Linked DNA regions of Cricetulus griseus. The protein of the gene in region 1 interacts with the protein of each later gene in a biochemical or structural test. Links are inferred from orthologs where the notes say so. Each region holds a gene or a part of one and is shown in the gene's direction. Other genes may lie near its edges.

Region 1 (15,164 bases):
CGCTATCTTCACCCTTTGCCCCGGACCTCACCCAGTCACAGCACCCTTCCTGGACCTTCCCTAGGCTCCCTGACCTCCTGCCCCTGCCCCTCACTCTCCCAGTCAGCGGTCTCCTCATCCTCACTGGGTCCCTGGAGGCTGACAGCCAGCACCAGCGCCTGCAGGAGGCCAAAGAGGCAGGCGAAATGCAGGGTGTGTGCGGTGAGCAGGCTCAGCACAGCGTGGAGCCCATGCAGGGCCGCCAGGAAACACAGCAGCCCGTGCAGCCACAGGCCCACAGGGCCTCGAAGGCCCAAAGCGTCCAAGACAGCTCGAAGGGGCCTGGAGCACAGAGCCAGCAGGGCCGAGGCCAGCAGCTCCAGCAGGTGCAGGGTCAGGTTGGTGGAGATGTGCAGATACTCCTCTGGGTCCCGCAGGTAATTTGAGGGCTCCCCCGGGCCCCCCCGAAGCCAGCGCAGCAATTTCTGACGTCGACCAGGTTTCTCCAATACGGCTTCTGGTCCGGCGGTGCCAGCTCCCCCGTGGGGGGGCCCGCCATGGTTCTTCGCGCCACCTGAATCCAGCTTGGGAATGGGTCCTCCAGTCTCCAGTCTTGAAGGCTCTTGAGCGCTAGAGACAGTCTTGTCCCTCTCGAAGGAATCCTTTCTTTTGCCTCCTGGATGGTCCACTTGGTCCTCCCTGTTCGTCCCCGGGGCAGCCCCAGGGGTCCTCGGTTTCCCTGCATCCTTGGTCTTGGGAGGCCCCGCATCTCCCATTGTCTCCGGGGCACTGTCCCAGTCGCTGCCCGAATTCTCGGGGGAGCTGTCCACCCATCTGGTTTCTGGGGCAGGCAATTCAGCCTTTGTTGATTTCCTGCGGCCCCAAGGTCGAGGTAGCCAGCTGCCAAGTCTTCGCAGGAACATGCCTGAACTGTGTGACGAGCCCCTCCAAATCTGCCACCACTTCCTGACTGCGTAAGATGCTCCTGGGGAACTATCTCCTCAGAAGCCGGAATTGTTCCGGTTCGGAACAGGTATCGGCTTGGTGATGTCGTCCTAGTCTGAATTCAGAAAGCTCACATAGCCCCAAGTGTGGTAAATGGCCCGCTTCCTTGTCAGTTTAGGGGAGAAGAAATCCATCTGCCACCCCACACACTCACAAGACTTCCAGGGCCTTATAAGGCCAGGGTCACCCCCACAATGTCCTGTGTTTTCAGATTTCCTTCCCAAGCAGTCAGCACCCTAAGTTTCACTCACCAAGGCCACACCCCAAGGTGCCCCAAAACAGGGGGGAGGTGGTGCTCCATCGCAGAAGGAAGGAAGGTGGCCCAGAGTCCTCGGTCCTGAATTTGAGGGGCCTCTGCCCCTCTGCCCGCGGGAGCTCAGGGAGCAGGAAGTCCCGGGAGAGAGGAAGGCGGGATGGAAGTGTCCGGCGAGCTGCAGCCAGTTGCACGCATTCCTTAACTTAGGAGGCCACCGCTCCACCAAGCGGCCCCACTGTCCCGCGCGGGCGCAGCCGAGACGCACGCGGCCTCCGCAAGGTCACACCAGAGACGTCCTTGGGGATGGCAGCCCCGAGGCACAGGGCAGGCCTACCTGGGGACCCAGGGTCCGGGCACAACGCCGGGGCCCAGCGTCCGGGGAGCGGCCTCCCGGAGGCGTGCGAGCCCGAGCCCGGAAGCAGCTGTACCGGGTCGGGAGGGCCCGGCGGGGGCGGAGCCCCGCAGCCAGGGAGGCGGACCCGGCAGAACGACCTCCCCCGAAGCCCCCGCGATGCACGATGCACGAGCGCACGAGCGCAGGCGTAGACGGGATCGGCTAAGCCAGACCCTGAATGCCAGCCCAGTTCTGCTCTTCTCCGCCCACCTCCGCCCGTGCTTCCGTGCTTGGCTTTTTGTTTGGGATTTTGGTTGTTTTAAAAGACACGGTCATCCCTATATAGGTAGCTCAGGAAAGGCCTGGGCATGTGTAGCCCAGGCTGGCTTTGAATTGGTCCTTTGCCTCGGCTTCCCTACTGTTCTTCTGCACACCCCCGGCCATTCCTGGTCCAGAAAGGTAACTATCAGGAGACGCGTGACCTAAGCAGCTGCCCTTTGCCCTTCCTGACCGGGACTTGTAAGCTTTCGTGTTCCTAGCACTTGGTATGAGCATTCCAAGTGGGTGTGGGTGCCAAGTAGGGAATAAAAATGTAACAAAACGTGCTGCCTGTTTTCAGGGTGTGAAATGGGGTCCCAGGGCTGCCTGTGTTAGGACTAAGGATGTAACTCATACCTGCGCTTGCGTAGCAGATCCGAAGCCCTAGGTTACATCCCCTACTCTGCAAAACCGGCTGTGGAGGTTCACAGTTCAATTTTGACATTCCAGAGGTAGTTGGATCTACATAACAAGTTTGAGGCCAGCAAATTGAGACTGTCTCAAAACAAAAAAAGGAAAAGATCATCTTCAACTTTGTATTTGGGAGGTCAGAGCTCTGGTCCCAGCTAGGATGTCATACAGGTTGGATAATGTTAGGTCACACTGGCCATTCCTGCAGGACTCGACTTCCCTGTCACCAGGGTATTACATTTAATCACAACTGGCCTCCTCAGGGAGTTCAGAACTTGAAGGTTTATTTTCAGCATATAGCAAACTTGGTTTGTGACAAACATCACTGAATCGACTAGATTGGCCCAGAGATCTATTGAAGGGGAGTCTGCACAGAACCGGGGAATTCCTAGCTCAGGGGGGTTCCAAAGAACAGATATTTGCAGCCAGCAATGATAGGGGTTCTCTGTCACCTGGAGAGCTTGCCCTTTATGGCTTGGGTGAGGCTTCCATGTGACTCAGATTTTCTCCAGTGCTCTACAATATCATGCAAGAAAGTAAACAAACCATAATGAAGGAAGTTTATTTATCTCTCAACTCTCAGCCCTTCTCTCTAGAAACAGAGGCCAAGTGCCAAAACCTGAGGGTCTGGTATCTGGGCAGATCCCAGGAAGTACAAGTTCAAGTGCCCATGTCAGGGGTCCAAGTCCAGCAAGTAACAACAGGCTGGACCGAACCAGTCATAATTCAAGGTTCATGTACAGTCTCAGATTTCGCTCCCAGGCTCTGTCCTTCTCTTCTCTCTTTCTGTTCTCCCTCTGACTTAGTGTGGCGACTCGAGGTACTCTTTCTCTCCCAGACACAGCCCGGGTATCCCGAGCTGGGAAATGTGTGACTCGGGGTTGGGGTGCAGGTCTATAGCCCAGTCCTTCCTGGTCCTGCTTGAGGATAGTGGGAATAGGGTTGGCACGGCCTTCACCCCGGGGTCCTAGGCCCATTCCTGGTTCCCAGCCACCCCTCAACAGCAGCCTGAAGCCAGGACTGGAGGTGGGCACCCCAAGGGGAAGGTTGGAGGGATGGGGACTCCTAGACAGTGACAGCAGGTGAGCAGTTGATGTGCGGTGGTTGGAGTCTTCAAAGTGGGCACCACAGTCCTCGCAGAACTGGGAGGCGGTGGGGGGAGACCTGCAGAGAAAGAAAGAAAAGTTACAGGGAAGGGAAGAGAAGGGAGACAACGGAAGCCAAGGCTGTTCAGGCACCTGGTGGAGCAGGGTGGCACACTTCATGCCTTACTTCTAATTTTAGCATCATCTTTTTGCTTTTTTCCGAGACAGGGTTTCTCTGTGTAGCTTTGGAGCCTATCCTGGCACTTGCTCTGTAGACCAGGCTGGCCTCAAACTCACAGAGACCCGCCTGCCTCTACCTCCCGAGTGCTGGGATTAAAGGCATGCGCCACCAACGCCCGGCTTAGCATCATTTTTGTTTTATCTTGCGTTGGATAGGCACCCCGGGGTCTTCGAAGTGTTAGCCAAGTGTTCCACTGCCAAGCTATACCAGCCCCTCTCCATCTGTGCAGAGGGACCATTTGGGATACCGTGAGGTGGACCTCAGCTCTTAGGAATAATGAGTAGAGCTAAAGCTTATTTTTTTTTTTTTTTTGCGGGGGAGGTTGAGACAGGGTTTCTCTGTAGCTTTGGAGGCTGTCCTGGAACTCACTCTGTAGACCAGGCTGGTCTTGAACTCAACAGAGATCCGCCTGCCTCTGCCTGCCGAGTGCTGGGACTAAAGGCGTGCGCCATCACCGTGTGGCGAGCTGATGCTTATGACCACACTATGTGACAGCCACTGTTCCATCACTTTCCACATTAACCTGCTGCATCTTAACGACTGCGAGACAGGTGCTTATCCCCACTTCTCAGACAAGGAGAGGTTTACAGACATTAGGCTGACGTTGCAAGAAAACGAAGCCAAGATTTAGTGAGCAAAGACCATGGCCATTGTCGCTCTGTGACAGGAACTAGCTACACTGGAGGATGAAGAGCCCCCGAATGGGGTGTCCAGGAAAGGCAGAACACAATAAAGGTGGGTATGAGCTAGCGCTCCCTCCTCACCGGCTCTGGTTCTCGGGGCTCCTTGTCTCTCCACGGCTCTCTCTGACCATGCGGGCCACCTCAGGGAAGCCCGCTTCTTCGGCCAGCTGAGCAGCATCTCTGCCTCCCAGCTCACAGACTCCTACCCAGGCAGCACCCCGGTCCAGAAGATAGCACACGGCAGCCGCTTGGCCTGCTCTGGCGGCGCACATCAGGGGAGTCCACCAGAAGGCATCGCGTGCATTGATGTTCCCTCCAGCTCCCCCTGCCTCCCGGGGTTCCAGCAGCCTTCGAAGTTCTGTCAGATCCCCGTTCTGGGCTGCCAGCAGGATCCACTGGGTCATCCTGTCGTCATCCTCTGGTGGCAGTGGCCTTCCTTGCCCCGAGGCTCCTGCTGCCACCGCCGCAGCCTCCCTGGTCCCTCTCCTTTTCCTCCTCTTTTGTCCTCTGACAGGGCCAGCTCTCTGGGGCTTAGGGGAGCTACTCTCATCTGCAATTAGAGCCTCGTAGAAAGCCCGGGCTGCGGCCCCATCCAGGACTGGCCCTGGCTTCTCAGGCTGTGGTTGCTGCTGCCCATCTTTCCAGAGGTCGCTGGAGTCGGTGGCTGGAGTAAATGCGATGAGGGACGGCCTGGACATGGCTTTGGGGAGAAACGAGGAAAGAAGGCTGGGAAAGGCTGTGATGAACACTCCAACCCGATGTAATGACCAGCACCACCCCCAGGGCCTGCTGGGATGAGAAAGCCGCCTAGAACTAAAACAGACCTCTCACTCCCCGACCCTAGGATCTTGTAGACCCCTGGAATGGCAGATGCTGAACAGATGTTAATTAAGTATCATGAGGGCATGGTAGATTAGGTTCTTTGTAGAATGCTCGCCTCGAATTTGGGAGGTCTGGGTTCTATCTCTACAACAGGAAAGAAAAAAAAAATGATAATAGGAAAGAATGTTCCCCCAGGCACTTGTCTAGGGGCCCTGCGTTCTACTCCCTTCTCCCTTCAAACAAAAACAGCAGGCTGTCTCTGAAAACCTTTTCCCACCCTGTAACACATACCGTTAGGGAATATCGGCCGGGACTTTTAAATCTTGCTCGATCTTACGTGGGGCTGGGGGGGGGTGTCTCCTTTTCCCAAAGAAAAACAGGCGTGACATCATTCCAGAAGGTGTCGGGGTAAAAGCGTTGCACTGTCACTTCCGTACCGAAAAATGGCGCTCTCGTCATCTGCAAGAGTTGACACAATCCGACACCCACCTGGCACAGAGACGCATGCGCAGCAGCCAACCACAACAAAACACCCACAAGGTTCAGTTTCCCGCGCTGGAACCTTCCCAAGCATCCGCGTCAGGCATCGCGTGCCCAGACAGCGCGAGGGCCCAGGGGGACCTGTCGGTTGGGGTCCTACTTTTACATAACGCCCCCACAATGCTCTTCGCCACCCTCGACGTGGTCCCTCCCGCTCCAAGCCCCTCTTGTGGAGCCGGGAGGCCTGAGGACGCCAGGGAGCCGCGGGATGCCGGGCAGCCGCGAGACGCGCTAACACCACGGCGCCCCTCACCGCTACTCCGAGCAGGGCTCGAAGAGCAAGCAGCTCACGTGGGGTCCGCAGCAGCAGCAGCAGCAGCAACAGCAGCAGCAGCAGCAAGCAGCAGCAACACATGGAGAAGTGCAAAGGGATGAGCGGCAGAATGGCAGGCGCCACCTCAGGTTAGCGCGCGGGGCGGTGCAGCAGGTCCCCCGCCCCCGCCGCCCGGCTCGGCAGCCCAAGCCCTGCGACCTCAGCCCCGCACTCCGAGCCGCACCTCCGGGCCGCATGCCTGGTCCTCGGCGACGGTGTCAGTCCCCGGGGCGGCAGGGACGACCGGAGCGGGACGGAGCGGGCGCGCAGCGGGGACCTCAGCGGCCGCCGGCGCCGGCTCGCAGCCTGCCGAGCCCAAAGCGCGTAGGACTATATTTCCCAGGCTTCCCGGTCGGGAAGGCGGCTGTAACCTGGCTTCCGCTTCCGGTGGAGGCTCGGCTCGCCCCGCCCCCAGGCGGCTTCCGCTAGGGCCTCGCGACCCCGGAGTCATGCGCGCGGACTCTTGGGATTGGTGGTTCGCCGTCCCCGCATCGCGTCACTTTCTGCCTCTCTACGGGACTCCATTTCCCGGCGTCCCTAGGGGCAGGGGCGGTCCTCGGCGCCTGCGCGTTGCCCTCTCTCCCTCCCCACCCTCCCCAGTTCCCCTTCCCCCCTCCCCACTTCGCCTGCCGCGGTCCGCTCGGCTTCCTGCGCTGTAGCGGTCGCTGCGGTTCCTTCGAAGCTCGGCTCCCCTTCCCCGCCCCAGTCCCAGTCCCCGTCCGGCCGGTGAGTCTGCGCTCGTCCCCGCGCCGCGGCGCCGGGCTCCGCGCTCCGAGATGTGGGGGCGAGGAAGGAAGGGACCGGGTCGGCGGCCGAAGGAGGCCGGGTGGCCTGAGGAGAGGAGCGGCTGTGGGGACGCTCGTGGGTCCCGCGGGGGTGCGGGGCTCCCGCCGGCGCCGCGAGGCCCCGAGAGGCGGGCTCGGGGGGGAGGATGGACTCGGGAAGCCTCGGGACGGGCGCCAGGCGAGTGCCTCGGTGGGGCCGCGCGGGCCGCGCGCGGCCGGGGGCCGGGGGGCCGGGGGGCCGGGGCCTGGCCTCGCGCCGGGCAACACCCACAGATCGGGACCTGTCACCCCCTGGGAAGGAGTGGAGCTGGTTCTCACCACGCTGTCGGGGGGCTGAGGTAAAGAAGAGAGGCGTGGAGAGCGGTGCTTCACGGGCCGGGGCCACTCAACGCCAGTGGCCTCGGATTCCTCCGCCGTTGAGGAGACCGTGTGTGTGGGAGGAGGGAAGAGACCAAGAAACAGCCTGGTCTCCACTTAACGCCCTTCTTCCTCAGCCGACGTAAAGATGAGTAGCTCTGAGGAGGTTTCCTGGATTTCCTGGTTCTGTGGGCTCCGTGGTAATGAGTTCTTCTGTGAGGTGAGTTTAGCTGGCTTTCTGGGCCCTCTCCACGTGCCCTCGGTGTTTTCGTTGTATGTTGTCTGAGATGAGATTTCCCCCGAAGCTGACTGTGTAGCCCAGACTGTCCTTGAACTCCTGGCAATCCTAGTGCCTCAGTCTCCTGAGCGCTGGGGTTCACTCTGTGCATGGCTAACAGAGGTATCGCTGGTGACCGTCAGGAAAGTTAAAATGTTTCATGTAACATGAAAACCACAGTGTGGTAACGTAGGAAATGATCAATGCCTGTGAGAGTCTGATGTCCCAGAGCAGAGAGCAAACCCGGGTCCTTTAGAGGAGGGAGACAAGTTGAATAATGCGCTGTACCTTGTTGGCCCGGAAAGAAGAGAGCTGCGGTTTCTGTGGGAGACGGAACACCTCTGCAGAAGTGAGAATAGGAAACAAGGGGAGCCGATGCGGTCGTTTGTCTCCTGGGCCAGGTGAAAGACGGGGCTTCCCACACTAGTTTCAACCTCTTGACTCCCCTGTCCCGGTAGGTGGATGAGGACTACATCCAGGACAAGTTTAATCTGACTGGACTCAATGAGCAAGTGCCTCACTACCGGCAAGCTCTAGACATGATCTTGGACCTGGAGCCTGGTAACGTGCCTGCCCCCAGGGCCGTCGCTGCGTGTGGGGTCCATGATATGTGCACTTGTGTGTGCTTTGGTTTCTTCTTATTCTGGTCTCTGCTCGCTTGCTTCTTGAATTTTTCTCTTTTCTTTTTCGGTTTTTCCAGAAGGGTTTCTCTGGCCTTGAACTCACAGAGATTCACCTGCCTCTACCTCCCGAGTGCTGGTGTTAAATGCATGTGCCACCACTGCCCAACCGCTTCTTGAATTTCTAAATTTCCTTTTGATTCTCTAGCTCTTCTGTCTATTCCCGAGTCTCTTGCTCGCTTGTTTGTTTGTTTATGTGTTTTCTCCCCCACCTCTCCTCTCCATTCATAACCCAAACTGGACTTTACCACTTGCTCTTCCTGCCTTGGCCTCCACGTGCTGGGTTTTGTATGGCACATACACCACTGCCTGGCTTCTTCATTATTTTGATTCCCTACCTGACCCTTGCCTTCAGGGACTGGTAACATTTGTTTCCATGCTCTCCAAATGTAACTCCACTGTCTCTCACAATGCCAGTCTTCTGGTGTGTTGTGTGCTGCTGCTTTCCTCCTGCTGGTCTAGAGTGCCACCCTCTGCAATTATGTTTATGTGTTGGGAAGGGGAAGAAGCTGGCAGAGACTAGAGAGGTGTGGAGAGAGGGCAGTGCTGATGGCCTGGGTGATGGATAGGGTGTGTCAGAAACAGGTGCTGGATAAACTGTAGGAGGCCACCTTGGGGATAAGGTGGGGTACAAGTGGCCATCCCACCTTTCAGATGAAGAGCTGGAAGACAACCCCAACCAGAGTGACCTGATTGAACAGGCAGCGGAGATGCTTTATGGGTTGATCCACGCCCGATACATCCTCACCAACCGAGGCATCGCCCAAATGGTGAGGCTCTGCTCCTGCTTCTGAGGCAGTGAGACAAACAGGTGCATGAGGCAGAAGGCATGTTTCGTACCTGTCAAGAAGTCTAGCAGAGGAGACGAGGAGAAGCCCAGAGCTGGGCTGAGAATCCAATCCTCACTGAGGGTCCTACTGAAGGTATTGTTTTCAGGGAGGGAGATGAGGCCATGGATAGGGAACAGAGAGAGCAAATGGCCCTTGTGTTCTGCAGCCTGCCAACTTGAGGAAAGCAGTTGAGAAGGAAGCTTGAGGACCTGTCTTGACAAAGAAGGGCTTCTAGTTAGAGGTGGGAGGCCTGGGAGGTGGGGAAGTGAGGTGCTCTGCACACGTACTCACCAGTCCCTTCCATTTTGCACACCTCAGTTGGAAAAGTACCAGCAGGGAGACTTTGGCTACTGTCCTCGTGTGTACTGTGAGAACCAGCCAATGCTTCCCATCGGTGAGTGTTGGAGAGGGGAGAGGAGGGCACTACTTGCCAGTCAGGTTGATGTGGTCAGTGCCTGAGCCCTGTGGGAGGGTGGGAGGACTTGGGGTACCTGGTCTTCAGGGTCTGGCTGTGTCCCAGGCCTTTCGGACATCCCAGGCGAGGCCATGGTGAAGCTCTACTGCCCCAAGTGCATGGACGTGTACACACCCAAATCATCAAGGCACCACCACACGGACGGCGCCTACTTCGGCACTGGTTTCCCTCACATGCTCTTCATGGTGCATCCAGAGTACCGGCCCAAACGACCTGCCAACCAGTTTGTACCCAGGTGGGGAGCAAAGACAGCCACAGAGAGTCAGAGAACGATCCGAGATCTTGGGAGAATTGAAAGACAGTCACAGAGAGTCAGAGAATGGTCCAAGATCTTGGGAGAATTGAAAGACAGTCACAGAGAGTCAGAGAACGATACGAGACCTTGGGAGAATTGAGGACAAACAGCCCTTTCTTAAGGCCTGCCTATCCCAAAGTCTGGGCTTTTTCCTGCTGAGTGACTGGGGATCCACCTGAGGCTCATGCCTCTGTTTTCTTACGCGTAGAGCAGGGTTGCAGATGAGAGCTGCTACTTGAACAGTGGCTACTGCTGCTGACATGTTAGATGCTCAACTTTTTGCCAAAATCCTCAGTTTTTGTGGTTCAGTATGGCTTATCGTCCCTATCTTATTTTTGCTGTGTACCAGGGAAGAAAGATTCCATAGCTCCTCAGATTTGGAATTTCCTGTGTGGGATGGGGGTTTAACCCAGGGCCTCCTACCTGCTAAGCACAAACTCTGTTTGAGCTATACTGTCAGTGTGGATTTTTGTTTGGTTGGTTTGGGTGGGGTGTGTGTGTGTGTGTGTGTGAGTGAGTGAGTGAGTGAGTGAGTGAGTGAGTGAGTGAGTGAGTGAGTGAGGATGGGGAGTGTTTGACAAGGTCTTTGTTGGTTGAGTTGGCCTCAAGGGATCCTTCTGCCTCTGCCATAAATGAGACTACAGATCTGCACCACCACTGCCTGGACTGGAATTTGAATTTTAGTGGATGTTTAAGATACATTTTTAAGAGGGCTGGAGAGATGGCTCAGCGGTTGAGAGCACTGGCTGCTCTTCAGGGGCCCTGAGTTCAACTCCCAACAACCACATGGTGGCTCACAACCATCTGTAATGAGATCTGATGCCCTCGAGGAACATGCAGGCAGAGCACTCATATACATAAACCAAAAAAGATACATTTTTAACCTGGGCATGGTGGCACATCCTGGTACTTGGGATGCAGAGACTATTTGAGGCCAGCCTGGTCTACAGAGTTAAGTTCCAGGGCAGCTAGGGCTGTTACACAGAGAAACCCTAACTCAAAAGGGGTGTGTGTGCATTTTCAAGTACTCATGAGGGAAAAAAATCAAGTATTCATGAGCAAGGAAGTTGTCGAACTATTGAGTAGGCATGAGGAGGAGGCTGGGGTAGTGGTGGGCTGCCAGCCACTGGAGGGCCAGAAGGTAGCTCACCCTACTGCCTCTCTGACCTCTGCCCGGCCCAGGCTCTACGGTTTCAAGATTCATCCAATGGCTTACCAGCTGCAGCTCCAAGCCGCCAGCAACTTCAAGAGCCCAGTCAAGACGATTCGCTGACTCCTCGCCCACCCATCCCTCTATCTTTAACACCACCATTCCTTTGCTTCCACCCTTTCAGGAAGTCTATGGTTTTTAGTTTAAATTAAAGGAATAGTTATTGTGGTGGGAACATGAAATAAAAAAGAAAAGGCCGTGAGCTGTCTGCTGGTTCTTGTTGCTGGGGAGGGCTGAGGAAGGGAAGGTGGTGGTGTGCGGGACTCCAGGGATCCTCATAGCTTAGGCCATTGCCCGTGGCTTGGAAACAGCACAGCTTCTTGGATTTGGTAATGTTAGTAGTTAAATATACCAGAGCTGCATTCGGGGTTGGGTAGGGGCAAGTACAGGATTGGAAAGAAAAGACTTCAGAGACTAGAGAAACACCTGGGCTCTGTGGCTGTGTGTGTTTCTACTGTAGGGGCTTCATAAGAAGTACTCTCAGGTTTGCTACTAAAGGAAATGTAACCCTAAAGTAAATAGAACTGCAGGGAAGGCAGACAGCCACAACTGTTGATCTGCTATCTGTGTGTCCATCTGGGAAGGATGGGGGCGCGTCTCTGGCCATCCTCCCCCAACATAATAGGAAGCAAGCCTGTTGTGTAGGTGGACAGCAGGTAGGGCCCAGACGGACGCCAAGCCGTGGCCCTGGAAGTGGGGGTACAAGTCTTCCAGGGCATGTGTAGGATGAAGACACCTGATAAAGATCCAGCCCGAGCTCAGCTGTTGCCCACATGGGAACCAGGCCTTGTGGGTGAGGACACGCCTTCCTGCCAACTGGTAACTTCTTCCAGGTGGGAACACAGCAGTTTCTGCTCAGACTACCTGTCAAAACTGTTCTGCCTCTGAGGATTAAGGGGTGTGATCCCAGGAAGGTGGGGTTTGACGTATTCCACAGGAGCTGTTCCTCTTGCTCAGAATCCCACAATGAAGGCCTGTGTGCTAACCATGGTGTGCTGACCGTGGTGGGCTTTGCAGTGGGCAAAGGTAAGGGCCGAGGCCTGGGAGGAAGGGGAACTGAACTGGGAAGGGTAGGCCCAGGGCCCTGGGTCTGTGTACCAAGCTCCAGTTGCTGATATTCGTACCCGCCACTGCTGGTGCCTCTTGGAAGACCCTTCCATGGGCTTCATTTCTGGTCAGAAAAGTGCACCGTCAGCAGTTCATCCCCTCGTGTGGTTATCACGGTCTACCACAGAAAGTCCATGGAAAGGGCTGCTGGCAGAACAGTGTGGCTTGGTCTTCTCCCTCGTGACGGTTGTTGGGATCTTGGAAGAGGGTGTGTGTGCAGACAAGTGAGTGAATATTTTATTTTTAGCCTCTTCTGAGAGTACATAGGATAAAATCTGGTCTGCATGAATGCTGAAGAAAGTTAGGTTTGGTGGCTGTGGGAAGCTTTTAACAGGGATTACAACTGTCCCCTCCCCTCGGGTGTTCAGATTCACTTCCATGTAGGAAGCTGTGGACAGTACAATTCCTACTGCTGTAAAGAAAAGCACAAATCTCCTGTCTCCCAGGCTACTGGTGTAAGGCTGACTGATGTCAGGACGATTACTGCAACTCTTGGTCCAGTGCCCAGCTCCAGAGTCCTCGCCTGGGCCCCCAAGAAGACGTCTGGCCTTGCCCCTGTCTGAGTCCCAGATATACCAGTTCTACCAGGCCCTGGCAGCCCTGGAGCTGGGTGTGTCCATGGCTGACCTGCGTCTCATACACTTGTCCCCAGCTTAGGACTTGTGCTTCCTCCCCAGACTAGACCCTGGCCCGCTCCCCTTCCCAGATACTGCTCTGCGGCCCTTGAGCACTCTGGGTCCTTGGGTGCCAGTGCTGGCTTGTCTCCCTCCTGTTGCAGAGCCTTAGGTATGGCTTCTGCCCGTGAATGTCCCTGTCCTCACGTGCCCTCAGTCTGGTCACGTGTGACAGCTCTTTATCCTGTCTTATGCCCTGAGCCTCACAGCCAGGCTACCACAGGAAGGGCAAAGGGTGACTTCTGTGCCGATTTCCTGGTGTGGCAACCTGTCTGCCCCCTCCCTGACCTCACTTCACCTAACTTGGTGACTGGTGGGGGGGGGGGTCAGGGGCTGTTCTGCTTAGTCATGTAGCCCGTTTCCCTCCATAATAAACCAAATCTGCTGTGCGGGCAGTGGGGAGGGTCAGGTTCAGATGTGGGCAGGCCAAAGAGATAAGTGTGGGATTCAAACAGGATTGCTAAATCTTACCCACTGTACCTGGTCTTTATGGCTTCCTCAAATTACCCTGAAAGGCCACAGCCTTCTCCCTCTGCTCAGCTAAAGACCAAAGCACGCGGACAGGCTCCCCACTTGAACCCTCAAAACCTGGAACAGTAGTCCAGGTGGTGCTGGCTTTTCACCTGAGGAGAAACTCATCCACATGTATTGAGCAAGCTGGTTCATTCCAAGAATCCCGAATATGCAGCTTGCTAGAGGCTGCAGCTGTTAAATCTCCATTTTAGTAGTTTGAGGTTTTTTTAAGATGAGGTCTCCTGACCCTCCTTCCTCCACCTTTCAAGAGTTAGGATTATCACAGGTGTGTGCTACCACACGAAATACTGAAAATTTCTGGTCACATGGTGGTGCACACCATTAATCCTAGCACTTGGGGCAGGCGAGTCTCTGAGTGAGGCCAGCCTGGTCTACATAGTGAGCGCCAGGACAGCCAGGGCCACATGATAGATCTTGTCTCAAAACAAACGAATAAGAATAAATATTGAAAACTTTGAAGCACAGAGAAAGTCCTCAGGGGTACTTATGTTCTGTCCGTTCAACAGCATCAGCCAGGCTTTGAGTACCAGCACTGTCTCGGGTGGGCATAGTCAGGCTCGCAGCCTTGCACTTAAGTGCTAGAGCGCTGTGGCCCCAGGTGTGCTGCCCGGGAGAGTCGGTTCTGTAGCGTGTGGAGGTGGGACGCCTCAGGAGAGAGGCGATGGATGCACAGGTGTGCGTGCTCATGGACAAATGTACATAGGGACTTGCGCTCTGTTTTGGCTTTTGTGATCAGGCTGGCCTCGATCACAAGGCCATGCTGCCTCAGCCTTTGTGTACTGAGAGCCGCCATGCGAGCCGCCTGCTCTGTAACCTTGCCAGCACCCGGTGGATGCGGCCTTCATGTCCCTTCCTGAGCACACCTGACTCAGGTGATGGTACACACCTGTTGAACAGACAGAACAGATGGACACATTAGGAGAATCTGGAGTTGGAGGCCAGTAAGGGGTATACAACAAACACACACATACCCCCTAAGGAAAAAAATCCACAACCTCCTCCCCAGATTTACACTGCTCTTCCTGGTCAGACTGGGAGACAGACAGGGTTAGGAAGAGACACTAAACCAGGGAGTGGAAAGCAAGGTTCCTTGTTCCCTCGAGCGCCACTGTCTCCTTCCTAGTTCCCCTTGGTCTACCTCATTGCTCATGTCCTGTATCCTGCCGATGTGGCCTCTGGACCTCTTGGCTGTCCCCCACGGAGGAGGGAGCTCTGATCTGACAGCACCGCCTACTAACTTAACCGACCCCACCTTCACCATCTAAGTGTGTCGGGTTCCTCTTCAGCTTTGTATCTCTGGAGTTCAGTAACAGATGTCAAGGCAGGGTAGGAGAGGAGCTCAGCCCCTTGATGGAGCAGTCTGACCCAGTTTCCAAGGCCTTCCCCACATTAGAAGAGGCAAACTAAACACTTTGCAGATTGTTTATTTGGGGGGAACTGTAAAGATTCAGACATTAAGCCAGCCTGCCCCATCACCTGGCAGAATGCACCAGGCAGTGCCCTGGTCAGCCCAGGGTTCCGTGAGTACTAGTCTGCACGCGGGTGCAAAGGACCCTTTACAAGACAGACCCTGCCCGATTATGCTCTCTTCCCAGCTCTTCTCTTTCCCCCACAGTTCCCCTGGGGCAGACAGGACTTTTCCTGACCCCTCTTCTCTTCTGTCGTCTCTCTCTCTCTCTCTCCCTGTCTCTTTACCTCTTTTCTCTTTCCTTCCCCCTCCCCCCCTTCTAATGAAACTTCTCACTTAAGCTCTGTCTGCCTGGCGTGTTTGTCCCTCTGCCTCCGACACCCTCACCCGACATGGAATCTGCCAAGGTCCCCCACGCAGGCTTCCCTTCAAGCTTTATCATAGCAGGAACACCTAGGAACTTTGGCTGACTGAGAGAAGGAGCTGGGGAAAGAAGGTGGCAGAGTGGGGTGTGGATGAGGAGAGGCCAAGATGGCCGCTGAGAG
Region 2 (15,164 bases), on another chromosome or scaffold:
CCAGAGCTCATATATGCTAGACAAGCATCTACATTAAGCTACAATTTAGTCTTTCCTTTTCCCCCCGAGACTGGGTCTCTGTAGTTCAGACTGTTTCAGCCTTCCAAGTACGGGATTGTAGGTGTGAGCCACCACCCTTGGCCTGGTTAGTGATAGTTTGGATAATCTAGATTGTAGGTGTGAGCCATCACCCTTGGCCTGGTTAGTGATAGTTTGGATAAGCTAAAACATTACAGCTAGGGGTGGTGACAAACATGTTTAATCCAAGCACTTTGGAGGCAGAGGCAAGTGGAGCTCTGTGAGTTTGAGGACAGTCTAGTTTACATATCCGAAATCCAGAATCAGGGCTATATAATAAAGGGACTTGTTTCAAAAAAAACTATCATCACCATCATTCTAATACAATTATCCCTCCAAGTCTGTGTGGCATTGATTCTAGGTTCTTTGCAAATACCAAATCTTAGGTTGAGTCCCTTTCATTAAGTGTTGTCATATATAATCCATGCATATCCTCCTGAATTTCTTCTATCATCTCTGGATTATTTAAAGTACCTAATACTATGTAAATATATAAAGTATGATACACATAGTTGTATCTATATTATGCAAATAGTTGTTACACTATGCTGTTTAGGGAATGGTAGCCACAGTAAGTCTGTAACCATTCAGTAAAAATGCAATTTTGTTTGTTTTTGATACAAGGTCTCTGTGTAGTCCTAGCTGTCCTGGAGCTCCCTCTGTAGACCAGGCTGGCCTGGAACTCACAGAGAGCCTCTTGCCTCTGCTTCCCTAGTGCCAGGATTAAAGGCTTGTCCCACTATGCCCATCTAGGACTCCATCTTTTGGGGGTTTGTGTGTGTGTGTGTTTTGTTGTTTTTAATTCAGGGTTTATAGGTTTAGAACTTAGAATATAATTATTTCTCTGGTCTCCAAACTGTTAGTGTTTTACTTTCCACATTCCGTAATCATTTTTAAGGTCATCATCATGTTTGTTCTCCCCGTTCATGGTAGGAAGGAAAAGAAGAGAGATTGGGCTCTCAGGAAAAAGCAACAAAATAGTCATCCTGTGTTCCGCCTTGAAAAATGGTTACAATTACAGGAACTTGGGACAAGGCTGATGCTAAGAAAGGGGAGGGTCGGGAAACCCCATGGGAGTTCGAGTACACACACACACACACACACACACACACACACACACACACACACACACACAGACACAGACACACACACACACACACACACACACACACACACACACACACACACACACACACACACACACACACACACACACACAACACAGAGCCCCTGGCTGGCTGCCTCCAAGCTGGCTTCTCCTCTTAAAACCACATTCATGTTCGGGCACACACACACACACAGACACACACACACACACACACACACACACACACACACACACACACACACAGACACACACACAGACACACACACACACACACACACACACACACACACACACACACACACACACAGCCAGCTCCCTGGCTGGCTGCCTCCAAAGCTGGCCTTCTCCAATCTCTTAAAACCACATTCATGTTCCTTCCTGGATCAGGCTTCCTTTGGCTGGTGCTAACCTGAGTCCTGGAGCAGGCTACTCCTGAGACAGGAAATGCATCCTGTCCCTCTGGTTCCTGGGAAACTCCTAGGCTGGCTAGGTTCCCAGTCAGTTAGTCTGGAAAGTCTGGAATCTTGGGAAAACATTTTCTGGAGTCAGTGTGGTGGATCCCAAGGTGATCTATTCATCTGTTCTTAGTTCTAAGGATTTTTTTGCCACCCAAAGCAGAACTGAGCCTAGAGGAGTTTATGCTCCCAGACCTGGCTCCTGGTACTGTGAGAACAGCATAGGGGGTCATTCTTATTGTCACACAGTATCCTAGTTTGCTTTCTATTGCTGTGATAAAAAGCTTTGACCAAAAGCAACTCGGGGAGAAAAGAGTTTATTTGGCTTACACATCCCAGGTCATAGTTCTTCACTAAGGGAAGTCGGGGAAGGAACTGGTGACAGGAACCTGACGATAGGAACTGAAGCAGAGCCCATAGAGGAATGCTGCTTACTGGCTTGCCCAGCCTGCTTTCTTATACCACCCAGAACCACTTGCCCAGGGATGGCACTGCCCAGCCCCCATCAATCCTTAATTAGGAAAATGTTCCTGCAGGCTTTCCTTCAGGCCAAGGACTTTAGCATGTGTCATGTTGACAAAAAAACTAACCAGCACACCCAGGAATTTAGCCTCTGCTGGGGAGTACATGGGTTTATCTAGAAGGTAAACTGTGTCAGAGTTCCTACTGCTGTCCCCTCCTCCTTTGTGATCTCTACTCTGTTGACTTCCGTGTTCTCTCTACCTTTTGCTTACAGCACTGAAGAGTATGAGTCCCTGGCCTCTGTGGGCCACTCATTCGTAACCACTTCCACCACGGCAGAGCCTTCCAAGCCCACCGCCTGCCGTGTGGTGATCTACCTGCAGCGGGAGATGTCAGGGGACACCTGTCTATGCCCAGCCTCGGGGGCCAAGCCCAAGATAAATGGCTTCAAGGGAGGCGGCCTGGGCAACAAGTACGTGCAGCTCAATGTGGGCGGCTCCCTGTACTACACGACAGTGCGGGCCCTCACCCGGCATGACACTATGCTCAAGGCCATGTTCAGTGGGCGCATGGAGGTGCTGACCGACAAAGAAGGTGAGGCATTGTATCTGGGCATGCTGGGCAAGGGAGGAGAGAAAGGGGCATCCTTCGACGACCTCAGGGCAAGGCTCAGTAGACCCAGAATCTAACTTTTCCACTTCACTTCTTACAAGTCTTAATAGGGCTCCAGAATTCCTTGAAAGTGTACATAGAATGCTGTGTGTTTATGTGTCATCCGGAGGAAAAGTCCAAACTTAAAAAATATTCAGGCTGGGTGTGGCAGCACACATCTGTAACCGTAGCATTTGGCGGTGGGGACAGGAGGATCAGAAATTTGAAGCCAACTTCCATTACATAGTGACTTTGATGCCAGCCTAGGCTACAAACTTTATCTCAATCCAGGAATGCCGGCACAGGCGTGTAATCCCAACACTCAGTTTGAGGCAGTTCAATCTCAAATCTGAGGCTAACCCAGACAATTCAGCAAGACTGTTTCAAAAGGTGACATATGGGCCAGTCATGGTGGCACACACCTCTAATCCCAGCACTCAAAGAGTCAGAGGAAGGTGGATCTCTGTGAGTTCAAAGCCAGCCTGGTCTACAAAGTGTTTTCCAGGACAACCAGGGCTACATAAAAAACCCTGCCTTGAAAAACAAAAAACCATCCAAAAGGCTGAGATATGTATAGGTATCCAAATAAAATCGTCATAAACACAGTAGAGCCTGGGCAGTGGGCAAAAGTAAGCAGAGACTGGTGGTTTCTGTATTACTGGGCTGACCTGAGTTCCCCCAAGCTTAGACATCCAGTCCTGCACAGACCCCTGAAGACCTCTCTCTTCTCGGGGGCACAGAGTTCCTGGACTCAGGATAGGGAAAAGCAGCACCGACCTGAGGCCAAATCTCTGCCACCCCTGGTCTGGGCTCTGCACTCTCTCACGGAGCTCCTTTCCTTGCATCCTGCTGCCTGCTGCCTCTCTTCAGGTGGCGTTTGCCTGAAGGCAAACAGTAAAACACAGCTGGAGGCTAACAGTAATCCTATGGGATCCCTCTAAATTCCTAGGCTGGATCCTCATAGACAGATGTGGGAAGCACTTTGGAACCATCTTGAATTACCTCCGAGATGACACCATCACCCTCCCTCAAAACCGGCAAGAAATCCAGGAATTGATGGCTGAAGCAAAATATTACCTCATTCAGGGGCTAGTGAACATGTGCCAGTCTGCCCTGCAGGTATGGGAAGAATTGGGTGACCTAATGAGGTTGGGAATTGTTCCTCTGGGGACATTAGGTTTGGCTCCTGGAAAGCTGTATTGGAAATGAGGTTGATGAGTCCAAACCCAAATAGAACAATGGGGTGCTCCCAGGCCCGAGCAAACGGCTGCTAGATACTCACATTTGGTAGCACAAGCAGGCTGTGCCCCTAGTTCATTCACTTAGATATCCGAGCTTCATATTTTCTGGCAGTGGAGATCTTACTAACTGGCAATGTCTATTACCAAGAACATCATGGTCCGTCTGGTACCTCCTTACCAGGCAGGGGGTGACTGTGGCAAGGCCTGGAGGGGTACAAGATCCTAAAGGCAGCTCTCTGCTCTGTGTGTCACCCAGGACAAGAAAGACTCCTACCAGCCTGTGTGTAACATCCCCATCATCACATCGCTGAGAGAAGAGGACAGGCTCATCGAATCCTCCACAAAGGTACTGGGCACTCTTAGGACCTTGGTCTGGGGACACCAGGCTCCTGGCCTAACCCTTACTCCATCTTCTCCCACAGCCTGTGGTGAAGCTGCTATACAACAGGAGCAATAACAAGTATTCATACACCAGGTATGGCAGGCATCTCTGCTAGGGCGCTGGGGAGGGCGGCAAATGCAGCCAAAGGGCTGAGCAACCAGAGCAGGCGTGGGCAGTGGCTCAAGGGACTTCACAGATTCCCAACACACGTAACATGGGGCTGGGTTTTGAAACCACCTTTGCTAAGGGCAATGAACAGAGATGGAAGGGAACTCAGGACAGAGGCATTTGGGATTTGTTATATAATCCTGGTTGGGATATAAATGATAAAATGTTAATCATGCCTGTAACGTGCCAGGGATTTTAATCCCCATTGCTTTAGTGGATGAAGAGAGGTGCTAGGAAGTCATGGACGGAGTCTTCCTGAAGCTGGTGTTCCTCACTGTGTCCCCATAACAGGCTATGGTTAGGTAGACCCAGGTGGCTGCAGACATGGATCTAGACTCTCCTGGTCCCCTGTGAACCCTGCATCAGCCCACAGCAAAAGAACAGTATACTGAAGTAACAGAGAGGGGCCCTTCCTTCCACGCTTATGAGGGGTTACTTCTTTCTCTCAGTGCTCTCTGCTGAACCGAGAGCCAGTTCCACCCCCTTTCCTCACAAGCCCCAAGTCCTACAGGTTCCTTTCTGCCTCTCTGTCCCTCTGCCTTGTCTTCACTTTAGCATGATAGGGTAGGGGTGGGCAGAGCAGCGTGGAGAACCAGAATGTCCCGGCAGCCCTGCTTGTTGGAACCTCATTCCAGGCCTGCTGGCCCTTTGGTTTTTTCAGCAACTCTGATGATCACCTGCTGAAAAACATTGAGCTGTTTGACAAGCTGTCCCTGCGATTCAATGGCCGTGTGCTCTTCATCAAGGATGTCATTGGTGATGAAATCTGCTGCTGGTCTTTCTATGGCCAGGGTCGCAAGCTGGCAGAGGTGTGCTGCACCTCCATCGTGTATGCCACAGAGAAGAAGCAGACAAAGGTATGATCTTTCCTCTGATAGGGGACAGATCACACAGACTCCAGGGTTGACGACTGGTATTGCTCCAATGCGCCCTTCCCACAGTAACGAAAGGGCCACGTGTACTTTCCAAACCATGGTATGATGGTGCCAGGTAGGACAGAGTCAGAACAAAGGGGTTTGGGAATGGTCAGAAGCTGTTAACAGTTGCTGAAAAAGAAGCCCACTGACCAGCAACCTTCTGGTGCCATGGAAGGACCAGGTCTTTGAAGTTGTCACAACTCAGGTTGCAGTTCTAGTCCCACCACTTCTAGTTGTCTGACTTTGGGGAGCCATTGGTCTGTTTCCCTGCTTGAAGATATGGGAATGAGTCTGAGTCTAGCCAGTACATGGCAAGGGTACCAAAGCAGCACGGTGTGTAGCTTTCCACTTCAACACTGCTCTTACAGCCAGGCTGGCCAGCTGGCTTCCTGAGCCCATGGAATGACATCACAGATGAGCCAGATGTGCCAGATGAGCACAGGGCAACTTTTATTTTTACTTTTTCTTTTTGAAACAGGGTCACAGAAGCCCAGGCTGGAGCTTGCTATATAACCTAGGTTAGCCACAAACACCTGGCATTCCTCCTGCCTCAGCCCACTAGGACTAGGGTTACAGATATAGTTAACTATAATCAGCTGTGTGAATTACTTGGTAGGGGACAATTTATGTAGATTCATCTCCTCCCTTCCTGAAGAGACCAGCAGGTATCCTCCCTAGAATATATACTTGGAGATGGCAGGGTTTTACTGGGTAAAAAGGGGGAATAAAGGGCGCAAGCATCCAGACCCAAGAGCCTTAGCCCCAGACTGCCACATTGCCTCAGGCTGAGTGATCTGCTGAGGGCTGTCCAAAGGACAGCTTATATGAGGTGGCAGTTCTTGGCAGTGGGGGGTAGAGACAAAGATGGCATGGAGTTAGCCAAGAGGCTGTGAAAGTGGAGTCAGGATTCAGGACCTGAGTAACAGCAGAGGTAGCAGTGCCAGTCTTCTTCCTTGGTGCTCTCTTCCTTCTTCTGTGTGCTCCCCTAACCCTCCACACCCCAGCTAGAAGACTTGCCCAGCTAGAACCTTCTCTCCACTTGAGATGAAGGCACAGCAGCTCAGTGTGACAGATGTGCTACAGTTTTGGGGTCCTGATCTCTTCCCTCAACATTGACCCTAGGGGTGGGGCTTTCTGGGTCAGAGAAGCAGTGGAACTGTTTGTTAGAATTACTTCATTTATTTGTGTGGGTGGGTGATGACAGGACAGCCCAGAGAGTTCTCTCCATTTGGGTTCCACCATTCAGGTCCTGGGATCAAACTCAAGTTGGCAGGATTGGTAGCAAGCACCTTAATCAGCTGAACTATCCTCTCTGTTCCCCCACCCCTTTTTTGAAATGGATTTCACCAGGTGGGCTGGCTGGCTTCAAAGTCTCCATCCTCCTGCCTCAGGTGGCAGGGATTACAGATGGGTAGGTACCACTCAGCCTGGCTAAGCAGCTTTTTTTTTTTTTTTTGGTTTTTTGAGGCAGGGTTTCTCTGTGGTTTTGGAGGCTGTCCTGGGACTAGCTCTTGTAGACCAGGCTGGTCTCGAACTCACAGAGATCCACCTATCTCTGCCTCCTGAATGCTGGCATTAAAGGTGTGCACCACCACCGCCTGGCAGCAGCTGCTTTTTATTATGTATTTGGTTGTTTACTGTGTCAGGCTATTCACTGGGCTAAAGAATGTACGTCTTTCTTTTAATGTTGACAAATCTCAAGAGGTGTTAGCTCAGCTTGGCAGGCATGCCTGGGATCACAGTGCTCAGAAGGCTGAGGTAGGAAGATTCTGAATCTGGGGCAGCTTGGGACATAAGGAGACCCTGTCTCAAAACAAAAGCAAAGAAAGTAGCAATTGACATCACTTTACACACATAGAAACTGCAGCCCAGAAAGCTCAGGCCCAAGACATAGCATCTTGTCCACAGAGTTGTTTGTACCTGTACGTACCCATGATGATAGTCTTTAGTTGTGGATTGGGGTGGGGATGCAGGGTTGCGTTTATCTATATTCTCATGTCCCCTGATGCTTCCCTTGTTAGCCAGGCAGCTACCTGACTTCTAAGTTAGGAGGCTTCATGGAAGAGACAAGGTTCAGAGCCCTAATGTTTCCTCATGAAATGAGACCTCACTCCATCTTGTTCCCTTCTTCCCAGGTGGAATTCCCAGAGGCCCGAATATATGAGGAGACACTCAACGTCCTACTCTATGAGACCCCTCGAGTCCCTGACAATTCCTTGCTGGAGGCCACAAGCCGGAGCCGCAGCCAAGCTTCCCCCAGTGAAGATGAGGATGCCTTTGAACTGCGGGACCGTGTCCGCCGCATTCACGTCAAGCGCTATAGCACTTACGATGACCGGCAACTTGGCCACCAGTCTGCTCATCGAGACTAATGAGACCCTTAGGAAGTCAGAGCACAAGAAGCCATGTCTGCTATCCTGTGGAACATAGCCCACTGGCCATCCTATGCTGCTCCTGCGAGCTGGGAGCCTGCTCTAGCATATAGTGGTGCTGGGCCCTGCTTGGGAGGTCAAGGAGCCCGGCAGAGGAAAGGTCACACTGCCCTACCTGGTCCTGCTCCCCCCATCACTTCCAGATGCCACCCCACTTCCTGCCTGGCAGGGAGCTACTTTAGGGTGAGTGCACTGACTTCCACCTCCTGTGGAGAACATTCCCCAGGCCCTTGGCTTAGTGCCCTTCTCTCTGCTGAAGAGCTCCTTCAGTTCCTCAGCTGAGGCCCATGGGAACAGTTCTGTCCTATGGGAAAGGAGGCTCCTGGTGCTGCAAGGATCCAATTTTGAACAGAAAGAGCAGCCTTCTTTTTTTCTTAAGGTGTTTAAGCATAGGTATGACCTGATTTTTTTTTTTGTTCTTAAATCTAGAAGTTAGCATGGTGGCCTTGCCTATAATCCCAGCTACGGAGAAGCCGAGGCAGGAAAACAAGTTATAGACTAGCCTGGACAACTTGGCAAGATACTGTCTCAATACAAAGTTTTAAAAAGAGGGCTAGTGGCATAGCTTAGTGGTAGAATACTTACCTAGTATGAGTGAGGTCCTGGGTTCAATCCCCAGTACTGCCACACACACAAAGTATCTAGGAAATGACTATTTTCTAGCCTGATGAGGGAGAACCTAGAACTAAGCATTTGTTACCCTGCAGGATGCCAGGACCCCACCTAGGCAGACTCCTCCCCCCCCCCCACACACACACACTACCCCTTTAAATGCCCTAGAACCCATCTTTAAAGCACTTTGTATGTCTGTCATTCAGGAGTCTGGCACATGCTATAATGCCAGCACTCACAGGCTGAGGCAGGAGGATCATACGTTTGAGACCAGTCTGTGCTATGTAGTTAAAATTCTAGGCTAGCCTGGAAGACACTGTCTCAAGAAAAAAGCAAACTGACTAGCTTTGGCTTTGTCAACCTGACTGGGCAGCCCAAAGAACACCAGGAGGGGAAGGATACCCAAGTAGAGCCCATGATTTTAATAGCACCCTATGGGAAAAGATATCTCACCCCCTGTAGGGTCATATCACTGACCCAGACCTAACACAATAGTTTGGTTTGGGTCTCATACTTGGGTATGCTCAGCTCTAAGACATGCTGTCCCCACAGACCATAAAGCCAGAGGCTGTGATGCAGGCCAGAAACACAGCTGCAGCAGAAGGCACATTCTTATAGCCACATGCTGCCAGGAATGCCCACAGATGTGGCCCAGGCTTCGCCATACTTTTGCCCAGCTCCTGACATCATGTCTTGGTTTATGGTTTGGCTCTAGGTAGTGGTTCTGTTTAGTGACGAGTCTCCAAATACATAGTAACCAGGGCAACTTAAGCCTTTTGAAAGGCCTCTATTTCTTTTGGGTCACTTGACCATGGAGGTACCAAGGTCTAGACTGGATGTGAATTATTCCTCTGGGCTTTGGTTTTCCTCCCCTTCTTGCTGGTCCTGGCCCTCCTAACTGGATTCTTTCCAGAGGAATGTTGTCACTGGAGGAAGCTGTTTGCAAGCCTGACAAAGTGTGTGGCCATCAACAGTGCTCAGGACAGAACACAGAATGTCAGCTTCATCCCTTGACCACTCTCATAACTGCCAAACGGCTGCACATAGCTCACGTCTCAGAGCCTATAGGCAGATGCCAGGGTTAGGGTTGGGCTCTCACAAGGCCCTGACATGACATGATAGAGCAAGGGAAACGTGACTTAGTAATCATTTGGTGTTAATCACAGTCTTGAATGTATAAACAGCTCTGAGATGCTCAGGTCAAGCACCTTGGTGATCAGCAGCTACTAGTTCTTCCAGAACTCACTGGAAGTGAGATGACAATCCATTTTTTTGACCAAATTTAGGCTTTAGCTTTGAGGCTTTCCCACAAACTTTGGAATGTTGTTGTATGAGGCCACTGGTCTATTTTCTCAGCTGTCCCCAAGAAGCCCTTTAGTATTCAGAGTCCCAGCTCCATGCTACATATTTCCAGTTTGTTCCTTGACCTCCATATCCCCTTTAGCCTCTCTACTTGGTGCTCTGACACCCGTATCAGTGGTGTCTAGTCCTTGGGCCTGCACAGCAGCAAGAGTCCAGGGCTGGGTATTCATCATCTTTGACTGAAAACATCTCCTTGGTTTAAGGAAAACACTAACTGAAATGATCTGAGCGTTTTTGCTTGGACTGTATGGCTTAGGGATTTGTGGGTTTTCCAGTCCTATTCCTACAGTAGCTCTTGGCAGGATGAATCTACAGGCTCTGTTGAACCTGGGATTGATGTGACTGGTCTACCTAAAGGGTAGCACAGGTTCTGGCATGAAAGACTGTGTCTTTTACTGCATACCTGCAATCCTTGGTTGCTTCCCTTAAGCAATAGAAGTAAACACTAACTTCTAATAAAATTGTGTTACACTGCCATGGAGCTGAGCCATGTTTCTAGTGAGTAGAGCCTGGCCAGCTCACAGCTGTGGGCTCAGTTCTTATTCTGTTCCCTCCATGACCTGTATTCTAGAAGGTCAGAAGACTCATTCCTTTGTTTTCCTACACACCCACACTCCCCCAGGCGGAAGATTAACAACAATACTCACAAGGACTGGAACTGAGATTTAATAATGCAAGAATGAAAGGACCTCTAACAGTGACAAGTGGTGAAGGAACCCTGAGAACTGGGACAAAATGCAGCCCAATTCTGCCTCCTGTTGATCTGACAGAAGCTGGGAAAGCGGCTAGGCTTGGTCACTGTCCATAACTTAAGCTGCTTCTTGGCTGAATTCCTGCACTTGTGGTTTGGGTGTCTGACAGACTTTTGCTCAATGCTCAGAAGCTCACAGCTCCGGGAAACCTGACTGGTTTTGCCTCACTCTTCTCCAGGCCTAGTGAAGCCAGAGATGCTGGTGGCTAATCAGTGTTTACAGTCAGGGGCACTCGAACCCAAAATGCTGGCCTCCTGGCCTCCTCTATACTGGGCGGAAGGTAACGAAGAGACTTGAGAACTTAGTCCAGTGCAGCACAGCCCACTGTTAGCCAGTGTACCCTGGAGATGTCCAGTCTCTGAGGAAGACACACCCTAGCAGACAGAGGCAGCAGCTTCCTAGAAGAGACTTTGCAGGAAAACAGCCAAGAGTTCCCACAGGGTCAACAAGGGAGCCTGAGACCCTAGGGCCAGCATGGCCAAGTGAGCACTGGTTTATTGACCATGGCTCACATTCCAGACAACCCGTGACAACTGAACACAGTTCCCTGACAGCTTTGTTGGAACGTGGTGTAGGCAGGGCCGGGCGGGGCTGACCTTGGAGGAGTCTTAGGTGAGTCTTCCAAGAAAAGTTACAATCTCCCTCCAAACAAAGAATCCCAAAATTAAGAAGCCCATAATAGGGAGAGACTTAGAGTTCTGCAGCAATTATGGGTTAAGAGCTGTTCTGAGGAGCCCAACCTGGGCACTCAAGGACCTCAGCTGGCCTACCAGTGAAGGCCTGAGGGTGGTGTCTTCTCATCTTTATTGCTTTCCAAGGAGAATGGTGGGATCCGGACATCAAAGTGGGAGCCATCGGGTCTCTCAAAACGAAATGTGCCCCTAAGGATCAGAGAAGCCACTTTAAAAGGAGAAAGGGCTGCACTGAAAGCCCTCTTGATCTGTGTGCACCCATGTCCTCTGATCCAGAGCCACAGCGCCCGAGGAAGGTGGCCTTGTCATCTGCCTAGTTCATGGCAGAATAAACAAAGATCCAAGAGCCCAATGTGGCCATGCGCAGAAGCACAACTATTCAGATTCTGCCACTTGGATACGTGCTGTATGAGCAAACCACCTTACTCGAGATTAAGGGGGAAACCCAACTACATGAGCAATTCAGTACAGTCCCAAGTCTTGGGATCTAATTCCTTAGCCCACAAATTGTAAGGAACTCATAGTCATAAAAACCAGATAGTCCCACAGCAATGAATAACACCTGTGTTATTCAGTGTGCCCATCTCAGGACCTCACTCTTGTAAACTGACCCTAAGCTTAGCTTGCTCAGGGTCCTCACTTTGTTATTGTTGGCATGAATGGAAATAGGGTCTCATAAACCTGCCTCAGTCTCCCAAGTGCAGTCTCCCCAGTTCTCACTAGCAGCTGTCTGTGGAGTTGAGCAGAATATACTCCAGCATACACTCACTCACCACATGTGCCCACTGGAAGCTTGCAGGGAGACATGGCTGCTATACTGAAATGCAGGCTGCTCCTTGGATAACACTGGTTCCTAAAAGAATTCAGGCAAAATTGGTCAAGCCAAGGCCCAGAAATACATTCCTTCCATCCTGGGGCTGTCAGATACTGACTGGATGACTCCTCCCACCTATACAGCCACACACACACACCTACAATGACCATCTTTCAGTACTCCTCTCACAGGGTGGGCGGTGCCCTGAGCCTCTCTAGGAAAAACAAACTGGGGGTGGGGGTTTGGGGGGTACTGAGGGAAGGTGCTAGGCAGGCTTTCTCTGAAAACATCTCTCCCTGCATTCACTCACATGAACAAGTGCCAGGCACAACAGCAGGGCTTCTGCCTGCTGAGTTTATTCTCTTGGTGACCATGAAGTACTACATGTAATCCCTACTTTAGCAACAAGAAACAGATGTGGATTATATAATTTGCCCAAGCCAGGCGTGGGGGCACACACTTTTGATCCCAGCACTAGGAAGGCAGAGGCAGATGGATCAAAGTAAGTTCCAGAATAGCCAGGGCTACACAGAGAAACTGGTCTCCAGCAAAAAAAAAAAAAAAAAAAAAAAAAAAAAAAAAAAAAAAAAAATTGCCTCAAAGTTATATTGTATATAGCTGGAATTTGTTTTTCAAAGATGTACCATGTAGCCCAACTTGGCCTCAAACTCACCATAACCCTGCCTCAACTCCCAGGGTACTAGACTACAGATGTGTGCCACATACAGTCCAACCCTGTTTACATTGTTTTCTTTGACCCCATTTTCCCAAGTGTCTTCTAACAGTGGTGCTGGATGACACTAGTACCATTTGTGACTTAATATCTCAAGAGACAGGGTAGGATAGACAGGGAACATAAAATCAAATCTCTTTAAGAAACACTAGATGGGCTGGGCGTTGGTGGCGCACGCCTTTAATTCCAGCACTTGGGAGGCAGAGGCAGGAGGATCTCTGTGAGTTCAAGACCAGTCTGGTCTACAAGAGCCAGTTTCAGGACAGCCTCCAAAGCCACAGAGAAGAAAGAAACACTAGATGAATGGATGAATACAAAAAGAGACATGACACAGTTGGTACATGTCCCAAAATCAGAAAGTGCTTCTTTTGTTTGTTATTGAGGGAAGGTGTTTAATTGTGTGTGTGTGTCTTATATGTGGAAGTCAGAAGATACTTTGAGGGAGTCAGTACACACCTTCCACCATGTGAGTTCCAGGGTTCAAACTCAGGTCAGCAGGCTTGGCATCAAGCACCTTTACTTACTGAGCCATCTTATCAGCCCATATTTTATTTTTCTAACAGGGTCTCATGTAACCCCTGCTGGCTTCACACTTTCTATGTAGCCCAAATATAGCCTTAAATTCTGATCTTTCTGACTCTATTTCCCACAAATTCAGGGTTTTAAAAGACATGCCATCTGAGTATGATATAAGCAGAGTGTTTGCCTAACATGCACAAAGCCTGAGTTTGACCTCAAGTGTTGGAGTACAGTGGAAAGACTAATGAGACATGCTGCTCAACAGTGAGTACTAAGCTTTGGGACTGGAAAGAGCTTGCTGCTCTTGGAGAGGGCCAGGTTTCCAGAGGTATGTGTTTCAAGACAGGAATTTGTGTATCCCAGGCAGTCAAGGATGACCCTAAACTTCCCAAGTCTAAGAATATGGTTACATAAAACCATGCCTAGTCTATGCAGTGCTAGGGTCAAATCCATGATGCCAGGCAGGCACTCTACCAAGAGCTACTTCCCCTATCCCTTATTAATTAGCTTCTAAGTCTCACTCTTCATCTGTGAAACAGGTTACAGACAAGCTACCCCGCAGGGCTGTTGTAAGATTTCTAGTGACAGACAACCCAGTGTGTCACTTTGTCCACAACCAGAGAGGAAGAAAACATACCCAAAGTTCCTAGACCTGCTAGCAGGACCAGAGAGGAAGAAAACACACCCAAAGTTCCTAGGCCTGCTAGCAGGACCAGCACTAGGCCAGTGGCCCCCTTATGCTCACCCTGCCCACCACTCCTCGTCCTCGAACTGTCTCCAAGGTGCCTGAGAGACTGAATATCCGCCAGTGCCTTTCCCGAAGCTGTACCACATCACTGTCCAGGTTCTCCAAGCGTATACAGTAGCGCCACTGTGAGGAAAAGAGATCATGTTTGAGGAAGAATAACTCTCGGGCCAGCCCAACCAGAATTCTAGAGAGTAAACAGCAACAAAGTTGACATCTATATTTTACAGTGCTGGATGGCTGCATCCACCCTGGCCACGAGGTGCACACTGTCTCCACACCTCCCCCAGGCTCTTGCTGAGCTCCCACCAAGGGAAACACTCACCCAATAGACGTGGGAATTCTGGGCTTCCTGGAGGGGGAAAAGGGTTGAGGATGAGACTAAATCTGTTCCAACCAACACATCTCAAATGAAGTATTCCTGGAACGCAGCAGAGACTGATCAAGCTGTGAATGTCTGGGAGCCAATGATGAATGTGATACAACTATGGCCAGCAGCCTCCCGCATCCTTCCTGCTCCGCCCCCTCTCCAATCCTGTTAAAACCAACAGAGCTGGATGCCAACAGAAATCCATTACAGCGCTCTGTTCTCACCAGCCTCCCTGCCAGCCCTGACCCCATCACTGCCACATGGGCCCCTGTCATTCTCCTTACAGCCCTCTGATGACCATGCTTGATAGATGCTGACATTCCCTATGACTGAGTCCTAACAGGCAAGAAGTCTTCCATTTATACTTGAATCTGGAGGCCTAGCCTGGAGTGAGGCAAGACACAGATCAATAAATATTTGGCTACTAATCACAAAATGTGATAATCAGTCCACACTGATTTAGGCAAGTATATGTATATATTTTTCGCAAGGAGTCTCTACCAGAAGGAAGGCATGGAGGATTACTTCCTGATCTGTGGGTTTCCTGTTCTAAGTCATGGTGCTGGCCATTATCAAGAGGCTACTCAACCCCACAGGGTAGGGTTTAGGATTAGATATACTCCCACCCCATCCCAACACTCGTATCAGGGATACCACACAGAATCTGGGGC

Evidence for each region.
Region 2: the proteins of Csnk2b (region 1) and Tnfaip1 form a complex in vitro, tested with the Homo sapiens proteins (2 studies listed by BioGRID, with this or other methods). The link is inferred for Cricetulus griseus from reciprocal best matches to the Homo sapiens genes CSNK2B and TNFAIP1.

The regions. Positions count from the first base shown.
Region 1 is NW_023276806.1:231,637,175-231,652,338, reverse strand, and holds Csnk2b (casein kinase II subunit beta), read left to right. Parts: upstream 1-6,564; 5' UTR 6,565-6,713; intron 6,714-7,266; 5' UTR 7,267-7,277; coding exon 7,278-7,349; intron 7,350-7,864; coding exon 7,865-7,967; intron 7,968-8,740; coding exon 8,741-8,856; intron 8,857-9,234; coding exon 9,235-9,310; intron 9,311-9,436; coding exon 9,437-9,626; intron 9,627-10,868; coding exon 10,869-10,959; 3' UTR 10,960-11,095; downstream 11,096-15,164. Other genes in the region: CUNH6orf47 (uncharacterized protein C6orf47 homolog), read right to left, coding at 36-902; Gpank1 (G patch domain and ankyrin repeat-containing protein 1), read right to left, coding at 3,023-3,467, 4,394-5,010. UniProt on the Homo sapiens protein: Regulatory subunit of casein kinase II/CK2.
Region 2 is NC_048600.1:91,909,202-91,924,365, reverse strand, and holds the end of Tnfaip1 (BTB/POZ domain-containing adapter for CUL3-mediated RhoA degradation protein 2), read left to right. Parts: intron 1-2,377; 5' UTR 2,378-2,492; coding exon 2,493-2,697; intron 2,698-3,703; coding exon 3,704-3,873; intron 3,874-4,251; coding exon 4,252-4,341; intron 4,342-4,417; coding exon 4,418-4,470; intron 4,471-5,206; coding exon 5,207-5,402; intron 5,403-7,597; coding exon 7,598-7,834; 3' UTR 7,835-10,347; downstream 10,348-15,164. Other genes in the region: Poldip2 (polymerase delta-interacting protein 2), read right to left, coding at 11,387-11,501, 12,086-12,165, 14,124-14,249, 14,449-14,475. UniProt on the Homo sapiens protein: Substrate-specific adapter of a BCR (BTB-CUL3-RBX1) E3 ubiquitin-protein ligase complex involved in regulation of cytoskeleton structure.